Linked DNA regions of Notamacropus eugenii. The protein of the gene in region 2 interacts with the protein of the main gene of each other region in a pairwise test. Links are inferred from orthologs where the notes say so. Each region holds a gene or a part of one and is shown on either strand. Other genes may lie near its edges.

Region 1 (6,973 bases), on a different chromosome or scaffold from region 2:
CTGGCATTCCCTAACTAGCAGAGTGACATAAATCTGCACTTTAGAAAGATTGATTTGATGAGTGGAGGATTTACTGGAGGACAGAGAGACCAGCCAGCAAACTATTGCAATAGTCTATGCATGAAGTGATGAGGGCCTGCAGCAGGATTGTGGCAAGGTCACGGAAGAGAAGGGGGCGAATATGAGAAATATTTTTTAAATAATATAAAGAACAAAACTTGAACACTAAAAGCATATGTGGAGTGAGAGCTGAGGATGACACCTGGGTTTCAAGCCTAGGTAACTGGAAGGATGGTGATACTATCAATAGTAATAGACATCAGGAAGAAGGTTTGAGGGGAAAGAAAATGAGTTCAGCTTAGGATATACTTAAAAATGTCTACAAGATATCTAGTTCAAGATGGCAAATGCAGTTGGAGATGTAAAACTGGAGGTTTGGAGAGACAGTATTGGAACAAGTAGATCTGACAGGCAACTGCAGAGAGATAATAATAGAAACCATAGGAGCTAATGAAACATCATGTGAAATGGTACTGAAGGGAAAGAGGCTCATTTAACCTCTCTATGTCTCAGTTTTTTCATTTACAAAATGAGGAAATAGTCACTACTTCACAGGGTCATCGTAAGGATCAAACAAGATATTGTAAAGTGTCCTTCAAATCTAATTGCAATAGATAGACGTCAGTTATTATTTTCATAGAATCTTTTTGCTAAAATTCATCATGAACTACAAGACAAGATATACCAAGTGTCCCATGAAATTATTTTTTATGCTGCTTTTGGGTAGCTGATCAAATAAATCTATCAGTTCCTTAATTTGTCTCTCCAAGGAGAACTTGTGAGGTCCCCTTCAATTTACAACTAACTTAATTTTATATTCAGGATTCATCTACTAAAAGAATATCAGTATTGATGTGGTTTGGTTGATCTAACAGTATGTCACTGTGGAAGTAGAATGAGGGGAATTTTTTTATTTGTCTTTTATTCATACTTTAATATGACCAAAGAATTCAATAATTTTTTGGTCAATCTAGTAGTGATGAACTTCTCCATTAAATAGGTGGTTTCTGGACAATAAATTTAATCTTTACCTGGGACAATACTCAAAATGTTTTCAACCTAGTAAAAGACCCCAGAGCTTATACTCTGCTGACTTAGCTCTTAACAACTCAAGAGAGTCAGTTCCACATCAATCTGAAGCATTTGTGTAAATTTGTAATTTCAGATTTTTTCTATCTACAATTTTGTTGAGTTTAAATGTGGTATCTCAAGAACAATATAAACTCCTTGAGGTCAGGGACTGCTTTTCATTTTGTATTTCTATCTCCAGGGCCTAGCATAGCGTCTTTCAAACATTATGGACATAATAAGAACATGTTGGTTACAAAACAGGAAAGTACTGGATATGTAATTTGGCTATCAGGACTTATGCCAAAAACTGTGTAGACAGGGAGAGGGCAATAAATGGGGAAAACCACCTCTCAATTCATGATGATGAGATTTATATGAGCACTTTATCTAAAATACAAATACTGAAGAGAGAGAGATAGAGACACAGAGAAAGACAGGCAGTAAATAGTTAGGCCTGGGGTCAGGCACTTACTAGCTTGTGAACCTAAGCAAGTCACTTGCCCTTTCTCAGCATCAATTTCCTCAATCATAGAATGGTGATAATAATAGCAGTCAGCTATCAGGATGGTTGTGAGGATCAACTGCAGTAACAAGCACTATTAAAATGCTTATCTCCCCCCCACTATTACACCCTGAGTTATATAAACACAGTTAATATTTTTATAGATTTCTAAAAACTGACATTCAGTCTTATATTGCAACCACCATGAGCACGTGACAAATTCACCATGAAAATCAATGCAGCTCACGAGCTAAAATCTGTTCTGATACAGAGAAGTTGCATGAAGAATTCCACCAAACCTATAGCACTTAACCCACACAGACTGACATACTGTGCAAAGGCATTCACTGGGAAGGATCAAGTATGGCAGAAAACACGGATCGATTATTTAAAAAAGAGGTAAAATACCTATAGTGTACACAGAAGATGCATACCAATCATGAACACTGTCTTCAAAAAGCAAACCGAGAGTGTCCGATATGCGATTCTGAGAGGGGAAGAGTGGGGAATAGCACAAAGGAAAGGACAAGTATCCTCCTGCGCTGGAGTATAAAAGCAGTCCTCCGAGTCTTGGTCGTGCGACGTTTCACTCCTGTAACACTGAAAATCAGGTGAAGTGCTCTGCAAACTGCCAGCCTCCCAGGAGGGAGGAAAAGACAGAATTTCGTCCCAGCGTCGAAAGCTAGTACCACGGCACTAGTCAAAGACAAGAGGGGCAGGAATGTGCGTCACGCGATTTCTGGAGGGTCTGTCCATCCTAAATGCCTCAAGAAAACGCTCGTCCGCACTTCTTGCCTCGTTCCTGAATTTCCCGTAGACTCCCTGAACTACAAAATAAAGACTTTTTTTTTAAGGCGCTGAATTTCTGCAAGCCAATCTTACTGCTGATACTTCCCCCACAAAACGAACGCGACAAGACTCCTCAGCTAAGCGCCAACACACGCTGGGGAATGCCTGGTCAGAAAAGTCCAGGTCCCACTTCAAGCTCCCGCTAGTAACCCGCACCAACATTTCCAGAAGGTCGGCTCCGCACTCACCAACTACTCTGCCAGAACTGCGGAGACGCTGGAAATGTCAACAACTGGAGATTCGGGCACAGATTCGCTCTCAGGAAAGGGACTTGAAGTGACTGAAGAACTAATTCTCGTGTACTCTGGGCGCCGCCATCTTGAAACTCACGCGGGGCCTTTCTGAAAAGCCGCTAAACAAGTCGTCCTGAAAAGTGCCTGAACATAAATAAAGGAGCCTTCGCCTAGCAGCTTCACCAGGCACCCCTCAACTCCCTGTACTGCCAGCATTCTACTCCCTGAGCTTCATTTTTCTGCTCTGAACTCTCAAAGAGCAATCAGCTTTGGGTAGGAATGTATTAAAACTACAGGCAATGCTTTAGCTAGCTAAAAGCCCACAGACTAGAGGAGCATGTGAGGTTGGCCAGCCTGTTGCAACTGACTGGCAAGTTTCAAAACGGGTCCTTAGTGTCACAGGAGCATAGATCTATGGTTGAAAGAGGTCGTTCAGGTCAGCCCTATCATTTGATAAGTGATGCAATTGAAGCCCAAAGACATGAAATAACTCAGGATTCTGAGTAGGAGCGGGTCTCTGAGATCCAAATCTCACTGAAAAGGCAACCACCTCGCTAAATTGCTCAGGCTCTCCTATGAGAGGAGAGTTCTACCATTCCACTTTGGATAATCCTCATTATGAAGGAAGGAAAGAGGAAAGGAAGGGGGAGGGAGGGAGGAAGTAGGGAGGAAAGAAAGAAGAAAGGAAGGGGGGAGGAAGAAAGGGAGGGAGGGAGGAAGGAAGTAGGGAGGAAAGAAGAAAGAAAGAGAAGAAGGAAGGAGGTAAGAAGGGAAGGAGAAAGGAAAGAAGGAAGGAACGAAGGAAAAAAGGAAAGGAGGAGGGAAGGGAAGGAGGGATTTTCTGAATTTTCTTTCTGCAGCTTTCCACCTCATTCTGCCTTGTAGGGCAAAACAAAGTAAGTGTAATCCCTTTTCCATCTGACAGACTTTCGGATACTTGAAAACATCAATCTTATCTGCTCTGAGTTTTCTCCAGGCTTGCCAAATGTCCTACAGGTAGTGAGATTAGAACTGTCTATTTCATCTTCAACCCCAGTGATAGGAACTGCGTCCCACCAGGGGCATACTACAGATTCAGACCCAGGGACGGGATCTGAAAAGACCTAAGAAAACGGGACTAGGAGTTAGGGAAGCCTGCAGCAAGGTGATGCACCTCCTACTTTACTTGGGCCTACTTCTGCCTCCTACACCCCCACACACACCCATCCTGTCTGAACTCCTCTTCCCGGCTCTAGAAGCTGGAAAAGCCGTTGCTCTCCTGCCTGAACCCTGCAGACGGAGCAGCGGCCCTAGCCCCGCACCCCGTGGTTCGGTCCTATTTTCTCTGGCCCTGCATCATCAGTACACTTGAAATGGACCAAACAGCAAATAAGAACCAGGGGGTGGTGCGGAGGGAGAGGGCAGGCGCCCCGGCCAAACAGTCCTAACTTGTTCCCAGCTGAACTGCCCGCCAGCCCCCGGCGGGACCTGCGAATGCCCGCCGATGTTTTGACTTTCCTGGTCTCCCACGCCTCCCCCGCTTAGCTGCCCGCGGAGCTGCCTGTTTTCTTTTTCCAAAACTTCTCGAGCTCTAGAGCCCTCGGAGGGTCCTGGCTGGCGCCTGAGAAGCGGGGAGAGCGGAGTGTCGAGCTCCGGGCCCAGCCCGCGGGCCCTGCCCGGGAGCCGAGGGGAGCTCGCGCCTCCTCGGCCCCGGTTTTTATTCGAGTCCGCCCCTCCGGATCAGGCGGGGCCTCCGGGGAAAGGACCGGTTTGTTTTCTGCCCCACCCCCTCCCAAGATGGCAGCCTCCAGTCGGGCACAAGTGTTAGATCTGTACCGGGTGATGCTGAGAGAGAGCGGCAAGTTCACCTCCTACAATTACAGGTGACCCTCGGCGGGCCGGGGCCGAGGTGGGGAGGGGGCACGCGCGGCCTGGGAGCGTCCAGCTTCCCCCACAGCCCCTGGGAGGGCAGCGCGAACCCACGCCGGCTCCGGAGGGCTACCCGGAGCGGGGACCTGGGGGGCTGGGGCTGGGTGTGCGAGGCGGCTGTCCTGCTGGTCTGTGTCCTGTGAAGCCTGTGGATCCCTTCCCGGAACGAAGCTCTGGAAGGCGTGAAGCAGAACACATGGGGTGACGGAGAAAGCCGACCCTGTGATAATACGGTTGTCTAACTGCGGGGGGAGGCGGCCCCCCGGCCCGGCCGTGCGCTGCTCCTCAGCAGGGAGTGTGCTGGGAGACGGTCCGGGCCGACACAAAGCCCTCTCTGCACGATTACTGAGGTTCTAGTGATACGTATTCATAGTAATAATAGTGAGTGGTAATGGCTAGCACCCCCCCCCCAAGACTGGCAGAGTGGTGGGCACGTGTCACCTCCTTTGCTCTCCAACTCCAGGAGGTCATTTACGGTAATAAGGTGTGCGGGACACTTCTTAATGGTGTAAACGGAAGGACAAGTTTCTCTTTAAAGGAGGGATGGACATTTTGCTTAAAAAACCAAAAATAAGTATTGTAACAGGAAAGAGGAAAAAAAGAGGAGGAGGAGGAGGAAGGGAAGGTGCAAGGGACTGAACTGTGTTCCCCTCCTCTTTGACCCTTCTGGTCTCCTGTGCCCTTGGCCAAAGCTCAGGCTTTCAGAGCTCCTGGGAAGAAATTAATGCATAACCTGTTGCATGTGGGACTTCACCTAGGGAGAGAGGAGGTAGTCTCCCAAGTGACTTGTTATAGAGCTTTCTGTCTTAGTCCAAGTTTTGGCTACCATATGGTTTGGGAGATTTTTCCCCCTGTAATATGATTCTGACATGCTAGAAATTCAGGTATCTCAGCTTTCAAACCAGCTAATGTGCTTCAGAGTTTCATTAACAAAAGTGGAGGGAAGTGAGAAGCAGACTATTCATACCACATTTGGAGTATTGTATTCAACTCTGAACTGAACTCTTAGAAAAGAACTTAAGTTGTCTCTCATACAGAAATAGGTATACCAGGATGATGATGAGACTCAACCATCTTAATAGAAAATTATTTGAAGTAACTGGGGATATTTAACCTGATGATATGATAGATACTGTCAGACATTTTGAAGGTTGTAATTTGTGGTTCCAGAGGGTAGAAGTAATTTCATTGCATAGATATAATGGCAAACTTCAGTTTAGTGTAAAGAAAAGGTTCCTAATCATTTTAGACAAAAAATTAAGTAGGCCCTCACAGGAAGTAGCGGGTTCTTCTATGACGGGTAGTGTTCAAGCAGCAGGGGGACGATCACTGGGCAGAATGTTGTAGTGAGGATTTAGGCATTGTGTAAAGGTAAAAGGTAACTTCTAGCATTCATTCATTCAGAAAGCATTAAAATACCTACTGTGTACCATGTCAGGGAAAGATGCAGGTTTATTTGTTGTAGGACTTGGAGAATACCCTTAAGGAAATTCCAGTCTAGGAAAAGGATAATACAAAAACACAGATAACTGCGATGTGCAAGAAGTATATTACCAAATGCAAAACACAGTGTTCTGAGGTGCAATGAAAAGGTCATTACCACTGGGAGAGATCTTTGAAGGCTCAGTGGAGGAGGTAGGATTTGAGGTGGGCTTTTCAAGATAGTAAGAATGCAGTAGGCAAAGAGGGACATGGATAATATTTCAGTAATAGGAAATGGCATGAGCAAAATCATAGGAGTATGGTGTCAAGTTCAAATAGAAATGGATCCCTGCAGGTTGCATATTTAATAAAAAGCCACAAATTACCATTATGTAGTATTTTTGTATATTTTAAAACATTTTCCAATTATATTTTGATCTAGTTCTGGCAGCACTTGGGGAATCTTGCAGGACATCAGGTGACCCTAAGAGTTTGACCCCTCTGCAGTAAAACAATCTTAGAGGAAAGAATGACTGGAATGGAGGGTGCTAAACCTTATTGCCTCCTCTTGTGTGCTAAGCCCTACCCCAACATCCCATACCTCACTCTTGCATGCAAATTGGTAGAATCATCCTGGTCTGTGCTCCTGACCTCTAAGAACTTAACTCAGATCCATCTGGTTACAAGGAAACGGTATTTTCTGTACTTGTAATAGGAAGAAGACTGAGACATTGTTAGAGACTATACTTGAATTCTTCCCCAGATTAGGGTAAAAATTATTAGCCACAAGAGTCCTCATGGTATAGTATAAAAAAACACTACAATTAGAGCAAAGAAATTTGAATTTGAATCCCAGTTCTGCCAAAACAAAAACAAAAACAAAAAAACAAAAAACCCTACTTTGGGAAAACGTTAGATGGAATTCTAG
Region 2 (7,627 bases):
GTAATTAAGATAGCTGCTGGTGCTAAATATGCACCATGTCTTATTACAAAATTAAATTTCCTCTTCCAGGTGTTCAGAAATATGTGATTTTCTTTCACGCTGTAGTAATTCCAGATTTCACTATCTTAATTCCATCAAGTAGGATGGGAAAAATGATTCCTTGATAATAATTCAAATTTATAAACTACTTCGAAGTTTTTAAAGCACTCCTTCAGCATTATCTCAGTTGATCTGCATGACAGCCCTGAAAGGTAGGTAATATTATTATCCCTATTTTATTGAGGAGGAAACTGAGGCCAGAGTGGTTACATGGCTTGCCCAGAGTCACACAGCTATAATTTGTCTGAAGTAGAATTAGAATCTTGATTCAAGTCCAGAATAGAAGATAAAGGCTGGCCTTGAATTAAGGGAACATCTGAGTTCATATCTTGTCTCCAATACTTGAATGACCATAAACAAGTCATAAAAAAACTCTCCGAGCCTCAGTTTCCCCAACTATAAAACAGGGATAATAATAGTATCTGTTGTGAGGATCAGCTGAGATAATATTTGTAAAACACTTGGCAAACATTAGAACCATATGTAAATGCTTGTTACTAGAGAGAGAAGTAGCCATGGCCAGTCGTGTTATGACCCCTCTGGGTCTACACAGGGTGTTATCATTATAGCCACAGAAATGAAATGGCAGGATTTAGCTGGATATTTAAAGTGCTTGCCTCATTTTACTTTTATCAGTTAGTTTCTGTGTGTGCTCATCATATATTTTGTGACACGAAATTCATCACTTTAGTTTGGCCACTAGTTCCACTTGGCCTGCCCCTCCTCCTCCTCCCCTCTCCCTTCCCCCATCAGTCTCCTTACTTCATCATGATTTTTCCTGAGACAGAGCAGATCCTCCTTCAAAGATTCCACGTGTGCCTCTAGGTCACGTTTGCATAGGGTCAAATCATCTAAGATTTTTTGGAGACCACTGATGTCAGCCTCTACTAGCTGGCGAAAAGACAGTTCAGTCTCATACCTTTAATCACAAGAGAGAAACTTAATTTCATTTTGTTTTTTTTTTCTTCATGATGTGACCTAGTCAAAAGCACAAAGGTAAGGGGGCAGAGATAGGACTGAAATCCTATGACTCCAAATGTGGAATCAGGGTTTGGGTAACTTAGCACATAGATACACATCTAATATATGTCAGAGGTAGAATAGATTCTCCTGACTTCAAGGCTGGCCTTTATCTATGCTGGTCTTCTGTGCAGGCAGACCCAGGTATCTGGGCCTGGACAACTTCAGACCCTTCCTAGCTTCATGACCCTGGGCAAGGCACTTAACAAAGTCACAAAAAACCCTCTGTTTGCATCAGTTTCCTCAACTGTAAAATGGGATAAAAACCCTACCTGGGAGGACTATTGTGAGGACTGAAGGAAATAATATATTTGGGAAGTACTGAGCACAGTTCCTGGCACATCCTAGGTGTTCTATAAATGCTTATTCCCTCCTTTCCCCTTCCCTGTCCCATGTCACCAGACTTACTTTGATCTAAAGTCATCCGCTGCCAATTTGAAGTTGTCAATCTGAACAGTTAATCTAGAATTCTCTGCCTTGGTACACAAGATCTGAAAAACAAGAGATGAAATAGTAGAAAGGATCTGAAAAGAGTTCTAACATCCATTCTTTTAAAAACCATCAGATATTTTGTAGGGGCGGGGTGATATATATGGAAGGAGGGGAAGGGATGTGGCTGTTTGAGTGTTTTTGGATAATTATATCATGTCCCTCCCCTCCAAAATCACTTAAATATAAAAAAAAAGCCAGGAGATTGTATTTCTTCACATTTATTTCTGTTTTTAAATTCACTTTATTCTCTCTCAAAAAAGAAAGAACTGAGAATTTGGAGACCAACTAAGGAGGTAGAAAACATTTCATTTACTTAACTACTTTGCTATATTTGTACAACAAACCCATTGTCTCATTATAATAACCCAACAGCAGTAAAACATAGGTTATTTTTCTTTCTAGAAAGGATTTTAAAAATTAATAGCTAAATCTTAAAAGAATGGCATTCTTTCATAATTTCCATGACTGTAAATTTTATACCTCTGAGAAAAAAGAAATTCTATTCATAGAATCCTAAATTTAGAGCAAGAATAAGCCTTAAGAGGCTATCAAGTGCAACCCTCTCATTTTACAGATGAGGAAACTGAGGCACAGAGGAGTTAATTGATTTACCAAGGGTCACATAGCTAGTTAAGTGTCTGAGGTGGGCAATTAACTCAGGTTTTCCTGAGGTCAAGTCCAAGATTCTAAGTAGCAGTAGTAACAGTAATAATCGTAGTATAATGTACATAGCACTTTAAAGTTTGCAAAGCTCTTTACCTTATTACCTTGTTTGATCTTCCGTACAATATACTAATAATATTCCAGATTTCACTTTTAGGTAATATTTTTATAACTCTCTTCCACACCATCCTCATCTCTTTCCATTAATACAGTGGTCCCATAATACATCACCATATCCAGTAAGATGGGGGGCAAGGGCTAGGGAAGAAGAATTGGCTAACAGACCTTTTGTTGGAGATTTTCAATTGTGTTGAAGTAACACTGGTAGTCTGGACACACGAGAGGGACTTCTAGTTCACACTGCTCACGGATTTTGCACTCCAGAGCTTCATTCTCTTGCTCCAGGCCTCGAACCCTCTCCAGGTAGCAGGCCAGGCGATCATTCAGAAATTGCATGGTCTCCTTCTCATTGCAGTTGAAGGCTCCTTCCTCACACCAACCACAGCTACCCACAAAGTAAGGGCTGCTACAGCTCCCAGGTATGTAGCAAGTTGGTAGGCGACTTGTGGGCCGACAGGACCTGGCGATGAAGGTTGGGGTTTGGCATCTGGATGCTACCCCAGTACTGGGGAGACAGGGAATCTCAGTAGAACAGGTTGAAACAGAGGGACAGTCTGATGCCTCTGAACAGGACTCAGGAGTATCACTTTTGGGGGCACATTCAGAAGTCATAGTATCGGAAGGGAAGGGCAAGGATTGTCTGCTAGACTCAAGGTACCCACACTTAGTCTTTTCCTTCCTCATTGGGATTTTTATAGAGCCTCTCCAGGGCTGTTGACAGAATGCTCAGGATGTTTGCTTAAGCCCTGTTTATGCTAGTTTTCAAAAGAACGTTTCATTAGTCTGTTGTGTATTTACAATGGAAGAGTTCCTTGTCTCATTAACAAGGTCAAGTTCATGTTGCTTTAATAAAACCTATCAGAGAGTCCATGTGACAGTAGGACAATAAAATCAAGCTCTTAGATATGTGAAAAAAAAGTGTTTTATACTGAGGTGTATGTCATTGACATCTAGATTTGAACTAGAAAGTTTTGGAAGCAAAAATTCATTATTTTATTTAGAATAAAATACAAAATATTTATCCTGGTATTTAAGGTTCTGAAAAATCTTGCTCCAGTCTACCTTTCCAGGCTTATTTGCATATTACTCCCTTTCATTTATTCTATCCTCCAGATAAATTTGGCCAGCCTGGTGCTCTCCAAATAAGCCACTCCAGCTCCCATTGCCGTGTCTTTGTACATAGTTCCCCTTATAGCTAGTGTGCCACCTCCATGAGACCTTTCCTGATCCTTACCACCTTCAGTACCCTCTTCTCCTGATATTAACTTTCTTCATATTCACTTTTCTATGTACATATTTCTCCCCACTCCCCTCCTCCCCTTCAATATAATCTTCTTGATTATTTTTGTTTTGTTTTTTGTTTTTGTATTGCTAGACCATGCTTGGCATATAGTGGTCACTTAATAAATGCTTGTTAATTGATGAATGAATGCCTGAATGAATGACATGCTTGTTATAGATAATCACGCTAGGAATTCCAGGGATTAAAGCTTCAAAAATGTGGGAAAGGAAGAGAAAAACCTTGGTCAGCAAACAATCAGGGGCTCTAATTTCTTACAAATAGGAGATGGAGGACATGGTTGTATACACTACAATCTTCTGTGTCTGTCTTAAACGACAATGAAATGACAAACATGCATGTTGATGAAGATTTGCAGAAGAATCTTCCAGATTATTATCATTTTTGCTGAGTCTTCCCATCTGTCAACTATAAAATAAATTTTAATGTGAGTAGAAATCCTTTTAATAGCCTCCCATCCTCGGGGAAGAGCAGACATGCTTAAGGAATGAGGTGTGCTGAGGTGTGCTTGGCTTAGGAAGCATCTCTTTGTGAGATTGGCCTATCACACTCTGTGTTTGATCTGGAAGGTCAAATTGCGTCGTGGATGGATACTTCCTAGGTTGCTGACAGGTCACTTTCAATACAAGTCGTGGCACAAACAGATGGTCAGGAATTTTACTTTAGTCTGCTGATTTGCCCAGACTAAGCATTTTGCTTTAATTCTCCACATTCCCATTGTCTCACAAAATCAAAGGATATCAGAGTTGGGAGAGTCCTCAAAGACCATTTGGTCAGACAAGGGCTGCACATGAGGACCTAGAGAGCCACACCTAGAATCAAGGCCTCAGGTTCCCCACCCCTTGATTCGGTCTAATCTGCATCTGAATTAGAATCACCTCTGTATCACACTGTGGCCTCATTCTGATGTTCTTTATTATGGAGCAGGGCAGGGGACCCCATGCTTTTTTTTTTTTTGTCTTTGATTTCCTAGAATTTTGAACACAAAAGACATTTCATGTTTGTTGATTTATTTCTGAATCAGTTCAGAAAATGAATTCCTTTTTTGAGAGCCTTTTGAACTCAAGCAGGATTTTGTTATGATGAAACTATTCCATAATGCCATCAGAGCTATTATGGCTGAATCTGTTTTCTGGTATTTACATAACTCCATTGGCTAGGGCCCACTTTGGATACCGACAAAATGGGAATAAACATTATGTAATGCAGGGGGTGTGAAGGGGACAGAAAAGGCCAGTGGAAGTTCTGCCTTTTAAGCTTGTATATCACTCTGCTTATTGCACCCCCACAATTGCTTGGGGATCCTGTGATGAAATAAAATGGAGGCACTCAGCTTGCCACTCTAGAATGTGCTTAGGTGTTCTCTGACTATTTCCAGTCTGCTTAATATATGGTAAACACACACACACACACACACACACACACACACACACACACACACACATACACACAGAGTTTTGGTTATGTGCTGAGCCATAAGTTAGTACACATCCAAAAGTTAATAACTTGTCAAAATGAACCTCTTTCTTTCTCTCACACATACAAATATACATTCTCTTTGTCTATGTCTATATCTCTCTCCTGTCTCTCCACTGTCTCTGTCTTTTCTCTCTCTCTGTCTCTGTCTCTCCTCTTTCTGTTGATCTGTCACCCTCTCTATCAATCTCTCTTTGTCTCTATCTCATCTTTTCCCCTCCTCTCTGTTTCTATTTCTCTGTCTCTATCTCTCTCCCCTCTCTATCTCTCTGTTTCTCCCTCCCAATCTCTCTATTTCTCTTTCTTTCTTTCCCTTTCTCCCTCTCTATCGATTTTTCTCTGTTTCTGCCCCATTCACTTCCTCTGTCTCGGTTTCTGTCTCTCTCCCTCTCTATCACTCTGTCTCTGTCCCATCTCTCTCCTTCCCTCCTTTTTTCTGTTTCTCTCTGTCTCCTTCCCTCTCCTGCCCAGATTCTTATGAGTGAGGAGGCAAGCATTGCTGTAAGCTTCCAGGTAGAGAAACAGAGAGAACTAGGGTTAATGGCTTACTTTGTGAACTTGGGTTCCCTGTTGTGTCAATTCTTTCCTACTAGACTATAACCTTGTGAGCTTCTAGAGGTCCAGGACCTGGGGTCAATGCCGGAGTTTGTAAATAGTTGAGACTGGTCCACCAGCAAGGCCTTGAGGAGTACCTGGGATCTCCTGTCCCTTGGGGGACCTCCTAGAACCCCAAGAAGGAGACAGTCAGTCCTCTGTAAATGGGACTGATCAATGCAAGTGGGAATTAGGATAAGGACACCCAGGGCCTTTAAAGATTCTAATTGCTACTGATCTTAGGGATAAGGCACATTCTTTGGAAAAAAAATTGAAATTCCAGTGTCAAATAAGTACCTTCCTTACTGTTCTAGGATCAGAAATCAATCAAGGAATCAAAGAAGCATCTATTAAGCATCTACTATATGCCAAGGACTGGAAAATCCTTTGCCTACTGCTCTTAGGTAGGTCATAGACTCTGAAGAATTGGAAGCCTTTTTAGAGGGCATCTAATTCTAGCCCTATTTTAGACACATTTATCTTAAGCATGGATACAGTCTTCTGAATTCTCTTCCTTCTTATCTGAGAGGATTTTTTAGTCAGCAAGAGAGGATTCTAATATTTTTCACTCCATTTTATTAAAATGTAGAACTGGCAGTTTTGACTATGAAGAAGAAATTCTGCAACTGGAGACCATGTCTAGTAGTTGTCACATAAAATCTTCTGCACAGTGACTGAGAGGCTTGTGACATAACCTTGCTGATTTTCTGTTTGATTTTGCATCCATTAAAAACATGCATGTAATATCCATCATTACCTTTGAGGGTAAAAAGCAAAGTTGTAACTAGGGTAAGGCAGCTTGAACTTTGTCTCAGGTAAAGAACATCTAAAGGTTTATTATCCCGTAACTAGTAGTCCTCTACCATTCTACACCATGATGTCTGACTATTCTCGCTTCCTCATGAACTGCCCCCTCCTTCCCCTTCCCTCCTGCCGAGGTTCTGTGGTCTTAGCATTCTCTCTTAAGGCTTGACTTCCTCCACTCTCACACTACTATGCCTGCTACCCGCCCCCTGCCATGTCTTGCTGAAATTTCAGGGGGTAGGGGATATGATTGGATTTGTAAAGAGATGGATCATCACAACTGCAGCCCACCCAAGTTAATCGTCCTCTTCCACCATCTCAGCTGAATTGGACAAAGTTCAAGAATTCCTAGTTATGACTCAAGAAAAAACAAACAAACAAATAACTCAATGAACAATAACAAGGTTTATCTTTATAAAAAAACGTGGATGATTAGAATCCAGGTGCTTAATTTTAAAGTCACAAAAGTAAAATTAAGGAGATGTAAGTTAAAAAAAAAAAGGTGTAAGTTCCTTGAAATCAGGCATTATCTTTCTTTCTGCTTATATTTGCATTTGCAGAGTTCAGTGCAGTGCATGGCATATGATAAGCACTTAATAAATACTTATTGACTTGATAAACCCTCATCTTTAAAATTATGTCTTGACTACAAGTTTCCCTGACTAGGATTCTACTGTTTTTCTAAAAATTCTTTGTTCATACTGGAATATTTTTAAAGAAAAAATCATCCTGGAGTCAGAACAAATACTGCTTTTTGCTTCTTATGATCTATGTGACCTTCAGAAAATCACTTAATTTCTCTAGTTTTCATTTTTCTTATCTGTAAAACTAGGGATTCATAGGATTATTGATTTAGAGATTAAAGGAATCTGAGAGGCTATAAATTCTAGTCCTGTTTTACAGATGATAAAACTGAGTTACAAAAAGGTTAAGTGACTTGCCTAGGGTCATAGAACTAATAAGTATTCAATACTTCTTAGTTCTCTCCTGGTTTAAAAATTAATATCCTTTTAGTCACCTAGGATGACTCAGTGGATAGAGCACTATGCCTGGGGTGAG
Region 3 (7,346 bases), on a different chromosome or scaffold from region 2:
GTATATACCAAATATTTAAGATGAGGAGAGAAGCTTAAAAGTAAGGAAACAGACCTGTGATTAACAAGGGTTTTTCCCCACTGATTTCCTGATCCACTGAAGTACTCTGCCAAGGCTTCCAGTAAGGGGTGGAAGGTGACCCTGGGCCCTAGAATGCCACAGTCATGTACCTTAAGCTTTGGCAGATCATAACAAGATAGAAATACTTCAAATACAGTCAACAGAGGCCGTTGTGTCTGCAGCCTAACCATCCTAAACCCCTGACCTTGCTAATTCATAAAGAAAGTAGATTACCCACACTCAGACACTCTCAGGACTTTTCAAGGGTTAGGGTCAATTCATAGACCAGGCACCAAATCAAATTAATTCAAATCCTTCTCTCCCCCCTTTTCTCTCTCTTTCAGGATTTTAAATTTCTGTTATTCTGCATTTGACAGATACCCACAAACATTTCCACAGGCAAGAAATAAGGATTGTACCTGAAACTGCATGTCTATTACATACAACTTATTTGCTTCCTTCTTTCCCCAAGCAACTCTTTCCTCTTTTTTTTTCTTTTTGGTGTTGTTTTTAAAAAATGTATTTTATTTTTAATTTATGGAATAAAACAAGAATTTCCACAACACGGGACAATAAAAAAGATGATTGCACATGAAACTACAAATATACTATATACCACTTGCTGTTCCTTTCAAATATACAACAAAATTCATATTAAATGCGTTTGTTTCCCTTTTTTCCCCCTCCATGGCTACCATTAGACACAAATAGGTGTATGTATGTGTATATCTATATGTATATAATATATATACACACATATATACATACATGGATACACACATACATAATTATTTTATACATGTTTCTATTTATCAGTTCTTTCTCTGGATGCAGATACGCCTTTCTTCATATGTGCTTTATAACACACCCCTTTGTAATACAAGTTTTCACGTGTAACACTGAGACCTACTTGACTGTTGTGAGGAAAGTACAAACTTTAAATGGAGGCAGCCCAGCTTATGGATGGGCAGCCATCCAAGGACTTGGGAGGACCTGGGTTCAGATCCCCCCTCGGACATATACTGGCTGCCTCCAGGTAAGACCTATATAACCTCTCAGAGCAATCCTCTAGAGCAAGTGGCCTCTTCCCCAGCGTACCTGGCCGGTGACCTCCCCGCCAGCTCTCGGGGTTAGGAAAGGCCTCAAGCTGCCTGCCTGGGGCCACCGGCTTTGCTGGGCATTCTGTCCACAACACTAGCTACCAAGGGACTTGGCTCCAGGCCTGAGGACACCGCCCACGACCCAGCCGGCCCAGTCAGCCAGCCGCCCATCAACAAGCACAAGTTCTCCCCCCTAGGCCGCCCACGCTGGGCTGCTGAGCACACTCGGTGCCAAAGCACTGGGGCACAGCAAAGGGCTGGCTCTTGAAGGAGTGCTTCAAGCTTGTGGAGCTTGGAGACCTCTCTAAAAGTGATCCAAAAGGCACCAGGAAAAGTGCCCGAAGCGCAGGCGTTAAAGGATTTAGAGATGGAAAAGATCTTTACAGATTATCTAGTCCTAAATCTCATTTTACAGATCAGGCAACTGAGGTCCTTCAGAGAGAAAAAGGGACTTGGTCAACTTCACACAAGTGAAAAATTGACTTATCAACCGGTAGAATTCGAACCCATAACCCAGCTTCCCAGGGCTGCAAATCCACCATGCCGCTAGTATGGAGCAGGGCTCCGTAAGTGTGCTTTTGGCCGCCTAGGGGGTGGGGTAAGAGGCTGTTGAGATCTTGTGCCCAAAAAGTGAATGAATGTGAGTGTGCGCGTTCCCGTGAGCCACAGGCGTATACAGGTGCGCCTCTGGGAGCCCGGGTGCGAGTCCGGATGCCTGGCCCCAGGGGGGTGTCCAGGCTGCTTCTCTCCGCCACAGCCCAGTGATTTTCTGACTCCACAGGTTCTTTCCCGGTTGTCCCGGGAACAGTTGCGCCAGCTTGAAGCAGCGCTGGCTCCTGGCACATGAGCATGCACACACACACACACGCACGCACGAGCACTGACCCAGGCTTGGTCACGCAGCGCCACCCTTGTAGGCTGGATCCCCGGAATGCTTCAGAAGTCCCCTCCAACCTTCGCCTCCCGGCTTCCACTCCACCTCCGGCAGGCGCTACCCGGCACTCCCCGCCTCCTCTCCCCGCCATCCATCAGGACCTGTGGCTCACAAAGCCTGCCTGCCCGCGGCGGCGGACACCAGACACCAAATACCAGACATCGGACACCTGTGCGCCAGCCCCATCCTGCCCCCAGCCTTCCCCACACACCTGAGCTACTCCTAGTGCCAGCGCCTGGGGGAGGGGAGGAAGGGGATGGAACCGGGGGTGGAGGTGCAGAAGAGGGGGAGGGGTGGTTAGCGCTTGATCCAGACTTGTCCCATCCACACTGCCCTCTCACCTCGCCTCACCTCACCAGGTCCTGCCTGGATCTCTGCCAAAGGCAGGAAACTAAGCCCGCTTCCTGTCCTCAGCCTCAAGTCCTAGGCAGCCTTTTCTTCCGACTTCATGCCCCCTCCCCCAGCCACAAGCACAGAACTTTTCGTTTCACTCCCAAGAACACTCCATTGCGTGCCACCCCACGGCAGCTTTCCCCGGGTTACTTCACTCTCCTCTCCAGTCCCCTCTAACTCTCTCCACCCCCGGCTCCACCTGTAATCCCGAACTCACCTGCACAGGGCGACCCAAGCACCTCTGTCTTTCAGTTTGGGCTGTCAGAGGAATGACGAATTTGGGAGAGGGGGAGAGACCGGTGCCGGCGGCAGCAGAATTTGGCAGGAACGATGTTATTAAAGTCCGAAAGCTGAAGGAGCAAAACCCTGTCCCTGCGTGCGCCTCCCCGGACGGGTCCCACACACCCAGATGACTTGGAGCTCGCAGCCCCACCCCTGCCTCTTGCAAAGTCCCAAACTGCTCGCGCAGGCACCAGGCGCCTCTGCGCTGCTGAGCCCCAAGTATCTGACTGCATGGACGCTGACTCCAAAGGGGCAACCCCGGGGATTTGGGTCTGAAAGGAGCAAGGAGAACCTTTCCCTTGCTTCCAAAACTAGCAATTTAAGGGAGGTCCTCTCACAGTCACTCCTTTACGACTCTCTGATGTGGTTACTTCCCTTACTATTTTTCAGTACCTAAGACACTTATTTTTATCTGGGGTAGTCCTTCATCCATTCCAGACCTCCATGAAAGTTAGGAACAGTGGTGCAGAGGATAGAGTTCGGGACTTGGGAGGCAGGAAGACAGTTCAAATTCTGTTCCAGATATGTGGCTCTAAACAAGTCGCTTAACCTCTCTCAGTCTCAGTTTCCTCTCTTGTAAAATGGGGGTGATAGCACCTGCTTCAGTGAGTGGTTGTGAAGATCAAATACACTTTGCAAACTTTACAGCTTAACGTCTAAGTGCTGTTAAGGGTAGTGGCTGAAACAGGACCTTTCTGAGCTTTGACTCATTCAGAAGGCATTTAAAATCAGGTCACTCTCTTCAGTTCTACTCTGTGTCCTAAATGTTGACTATTTGCTTTTAGTCTGCCCTTTAATTTACAGTTCTCCATTATCAAAAGCCATAAAGGTATGACATTAAAAGACAGGCTTAGAATTTAGAGGAGAAAAAAATAAAAAACCCAGAAAGGATGGAATGTGAAGAAAAATGAAAACATTTGGGAAAATATTTCATTTCATTTCCTTATATTTTGTTCAACTAATGAACAACACATTATAGAATCAAAATTCTAGGATCTCAGAATGGAAAGGGACAGCAGAGGGATCTAGATCAATTCTTACTGAAAGCATCAATGTCTGTTGTCTGAATAGTACTCATCCAATGATGGGAATGCATAATATTATCACTATGCAGTCCAATCCCTCAAACCTTAACTTAAGATAATAACACTGCCTGTAAATCCAGAGGGCCTGGATTCAAATGCCGCATGACCTGTATGACCTTGAACAAATCTCCTACCTTCTCTAGGCCTTGGTTTCCTCATCTGTTAAATGAGGAAGTTCAACTATATTGTTCCTGAGGTCCAGCTCTAGACCTGTGATCCTCATGTATGTAAGCACCTACTTCGTTATTCCCCAGCTCACTAAACTCCAGTGGTTCCTGTGGTTCTAGGATAGCTACAAATTCCTGTTTGGCTTTTAAAGTACTTCACAGCTTTACTCAAACCTGCTCTTCATTCATCACTCTCCTTAATGGAGTCTAAAATCCAGCCAAACTGATTTACTTTTCACATGCTGCCTTGAACTGAAGGTATTTGTGTGTGTTTAGGGCCACTCAATGGCCCTAGATTGAAAAAATACTTTTTAGACGTCTTGATTGCAAGGATTGTCTTATACAACTTTGCATACTACAAAGCTGTCCAATGAAAAACCACTAAAACCCAACTGTCAAACTGAATTGTAAGCAATTTACTTCAGAACTTTTTAAGTCCTTCTCTTTTTCTCTTCCTGCCTTCCCTTTCTTCCCGTATCTCTCTCTCCCCCTTCGTCTCTCTCCTTCCCCCCTTTCTTGCCTCTTTTCTCTCTTCCCACCACCTTATCATCTCTCATCTCTCCTTTCTGTTTCATTTCCCCTATTCCCTGCAATGCTTTCTTAACTAGACATAACTATGGCATTGGCTGTGTGGTTGTTGGCTTTTTTTTAAAGTTTTATATGTGTGTAATACCTTGCTACAATAAGTAGCTTATTTTAAGGCTAGGGGTAATACAGTTGTCCTTAGGTTCATATGGTTCCTTCCTCTGTTGCTTTAGGGAATTAAAACAAAAAGTTAGGAGTATAATGACTCCAAATCCCCAGCAGAGGATTGGCTCTCTGCCTTAATTTATAATTAGGTTTATCTCTAGCTAACCCCTGACCTCTTTGTGGTTGAGATGAAATTCATGTTATTCGAAACATTTATGTAAAGAAGAAAAGGAGTTATATTACAGTGTCCTCTTTAAATTTACATTTAATTTTTTCCCTCAGTTACATGTAAGCAAAAATGTTTTTAACATTTGACAGTGTCTATTAATAGACAAATACCAGAAGGGGAAGTTGGGGAAAGAACTGACCTCTTTTTAGAACTTTGGATCTTTGAGAAGGAAGGTAAAACTGATGGCATCAGTCCAAGTTTTGCACTCTGAGATCCTAAAGGGCCAAAGGCCCTCCTCTATCTCTCTCTTCTCTGCCAACTTTCTTTCTTCTTTTGCATGTTGCCCCTTTGCTGTCGATTCTTTCCAGCTCAGTTCTTGATGTTTCAACTCCCTCTACTCTCTCAGACTTATGACGTTTGAAGAGCTGAACTCTCTCCTGCATTTATACAAGCTCCTTGGCATGGCCAAGTCCTTCACCGACTCAGCACAGATTTTCTTTGCACCTAATTGAGACATCATCTATTGTCTTTAAGAGGATGTCTAGGTCTTGCTCATATCTAGTTCTAATTGAATCTGCCAGTTGAGAAGTGATCCTATCTAACAAAGGTAATCCACTTTTGAGTGGGTAGAAGTAATCCATGAACCTCTTTTTGCAATTTTTAAAAATAAGTGATTTTGAAGCTCTTGTATTGCTCTGAGAAAAAATAAAACTAAATAAGGTTGTCTTTTGTGTGACCTTCAATTGTTTCTGTGTACCCTCCACCCTAACCAATATAAGCCTCCACTCAATGGCCCTAGATTGAAAAAAATCTCCCCACTCTTGATGGGGAAATAGGAAAATGGGAGAAAAATCTGAAATGGTGTATTAAGCTCTATAGTAGAGAGTTTCTAGGCACTTAGCCTTTGGGGATCAGAAAAGGAGAAAGGAGAGTCATAGTTGGGCTTCCATTGCTTGGTGGTCTTCTTTACCCAGTGCTTAGCATGGTGTCTGGAGATTGTTATTGTTGTTCTGACTCTTTGTGACCCCTTTTTGGTTTTTCTGGGCAAAGATATTGGAGTGGTTTGCCATTTCCTTCTCCAGCTTATTTTACAGATAAGGAAACTGAGACAAATAGTTAAGTGACTTGCCTAGCGTCATGCAGCTAGTAAGTATCTGAGACTGGATTTGAACTCAGGTCATCCTGACTCCAGGCCCAACCTCTCCACTGTGCCACCTAGCTGCCCCATCGTGTCAAACAGTAGATATTTAATAAATATTTGTTGACTGTACCTCCAATATCCAAAAGAAGACAATTCAAATTCCATGTATTTGTATTTATGAACACCATGGAAAAACCACCTTAACCTTTATCTTTCTATACTGAAAGCTTTTAAGGCATCTTGAAAAGACCAGTGAATCATTTCATTCAATTTTGCATAAAATAAACAACCTATTTTCCAGCCTTATTAACCATCACTCTCTTCCTTTCCTACATTCAAAACTTCTGCTAGATTTTCCTTCTTGCTCCTTCTCATCTCAAGATACCCTCCTCTTTCAGCGCCTTGGCCCAAGATATCTCTGCTTCCCTACCCCCATTCCTCCACCCCCTATCTCTTATAAGCCTTTGTTTCTTTTAAGACTCATGAAGACTTTCCAGATTCCTCACGGTCCTAGTACCCTTCTTTCCATAATTTTTTGTGTTAGCTTGTATTGGGGACAACTAGTGGCCGTGTGGACGGACCAGAAGTCAGGAAGCCTTCAAATCCAGCCTCAGTCTTACTAGCTGTGTGACCTAAACTCTACTTGCCTCAGTTTTCTCAACTATAAAATGAGGATACGTAATAGCACCTGCCTGCCTGGGTTTTTGTGAGAAGTAAATAATATTTATAAACACAGCACAGTACCTGGTATATGATAGGCGCCACATAAATGCTTATTCCCTTTCTCCACCTTTTATTTGTTTTGAATATATTTTATATTTTCTTATTTATAGACTTCTTGCCTCCCCTAATAAAATTTAAGGTCCTTGAGGACAGGGATTATTTCCTATTTGCTTTGGAATCCCTAGTACCTAGCCCAATGCCTGTCATATAGTAGGCATTTAATACATGTTTACTGATTGATAATTAGAGCTTGGATTTTGAACCTACTATTGTAAGGCTCTTTCATGTAATCAAAAATTACATTCACATTGAATTCAGTTACACATATGATTAAGATTGGCACAAATACTAACTAGCAACTGAGCCAATGCAAATTTGGAATACAAAAATATTTCATTTCATCATCCAGCCTCAGTGGAAAGATTGCTAATGAGGAGAAACTGACTCCCTCTCAGAGCAACCCATCCCACTTCTATATGGCTTGGATTGTTAGGAAGTTTTCCCTTGCATCAAGCTCAAATCAGTTAATCAATAATTCTTTATTAAACACCTATTAATCGCTTATGTGTCTGGCACTGTGATAAATACTGGGGATAAAAAGA

The links.
Region 1: the proteins of keratin, type I cytoskeletal 40-like (region 2) and FARS2 interact in binary tests that used the Homo sapiens proteins (3 or more experiments, as listed by UniProt). The two-hybrid records come from large-scale screens. The link is inferred for Notamacropus eugenii from reciprocal best matches to the Homo sapiens genes KRT40 and FARS2.
Region 3: the proteins of keratin, type I cytoskeletal 40-like (region 2) and SH2D4A interact in binary tests that used the Homo sapiens proteins (3 or more experiments, as listed by UniProt). The two-hybrid records come from large-scale screens. The link is inferred for Notamacropus eugenii from reciprocal best matches to the Homo sapiens genes KRT40 and SH2D4A.

What each region holds. Positions count from the first base shown.
Region 1 is NC_092875.1:175,234,262-175,241,234, reverse strand, and holds the start of FARS2 (phenylalanine--tRNA ligase, mitochondrial), read right to left. Parts: upstream 3,002-6,973; 5' UTR 2,671-3,001; intron 2,642-2,670; exon of another isoform or gene 2,068-2,641; intron 1-2,067. Other genes in the region: LYRM4 (LYR motif-containing protein 4), read left to right, coding at 4,492-4,577. UniProt on the Homo sapiens protein: Is responsible for the charging of tRNA(Phe) with phenylalanine in mitochondrial translation.
Region 2 is NC_092873.1:356,891,487-356,899,113, forward strand, and holds the start of keratin, type I cytoskeletal 40-like, read right to left. Parts: upstream 3,007-7,627; coding exon 2,560-3,006; intron 1,611-2,559; coding exon 1,528-1,610; intron 1,019-1,527; coding exon 862-1,018; intron 1-861. UniProt on the Homo sapiens protein: May play a role in late hair differentiation.
Region 3 is NC_092872.1:616,684,973-616,692,318, reverse strand, and holds the start of SH2D4A (SH2 domain-containing protein 4A), read right to left. Parts: upstream 3,002-7,346; 5' UTR 2,705-3,001; intron 2,654-2,704; exon of another isoform or gene 2,436-2,653; intron 2,216-2,435; 5' UTR 2,046-2,215; intron 1-2,045. UniProt on the Homo sapiens protein: Inhibits estrogen-induced cell proliferation by competing with PLCG for binding to ESR1, blocking the effect of estrogen on PLCG and repressing estrogen-induced proliferation. May play a role in T-cell development and function.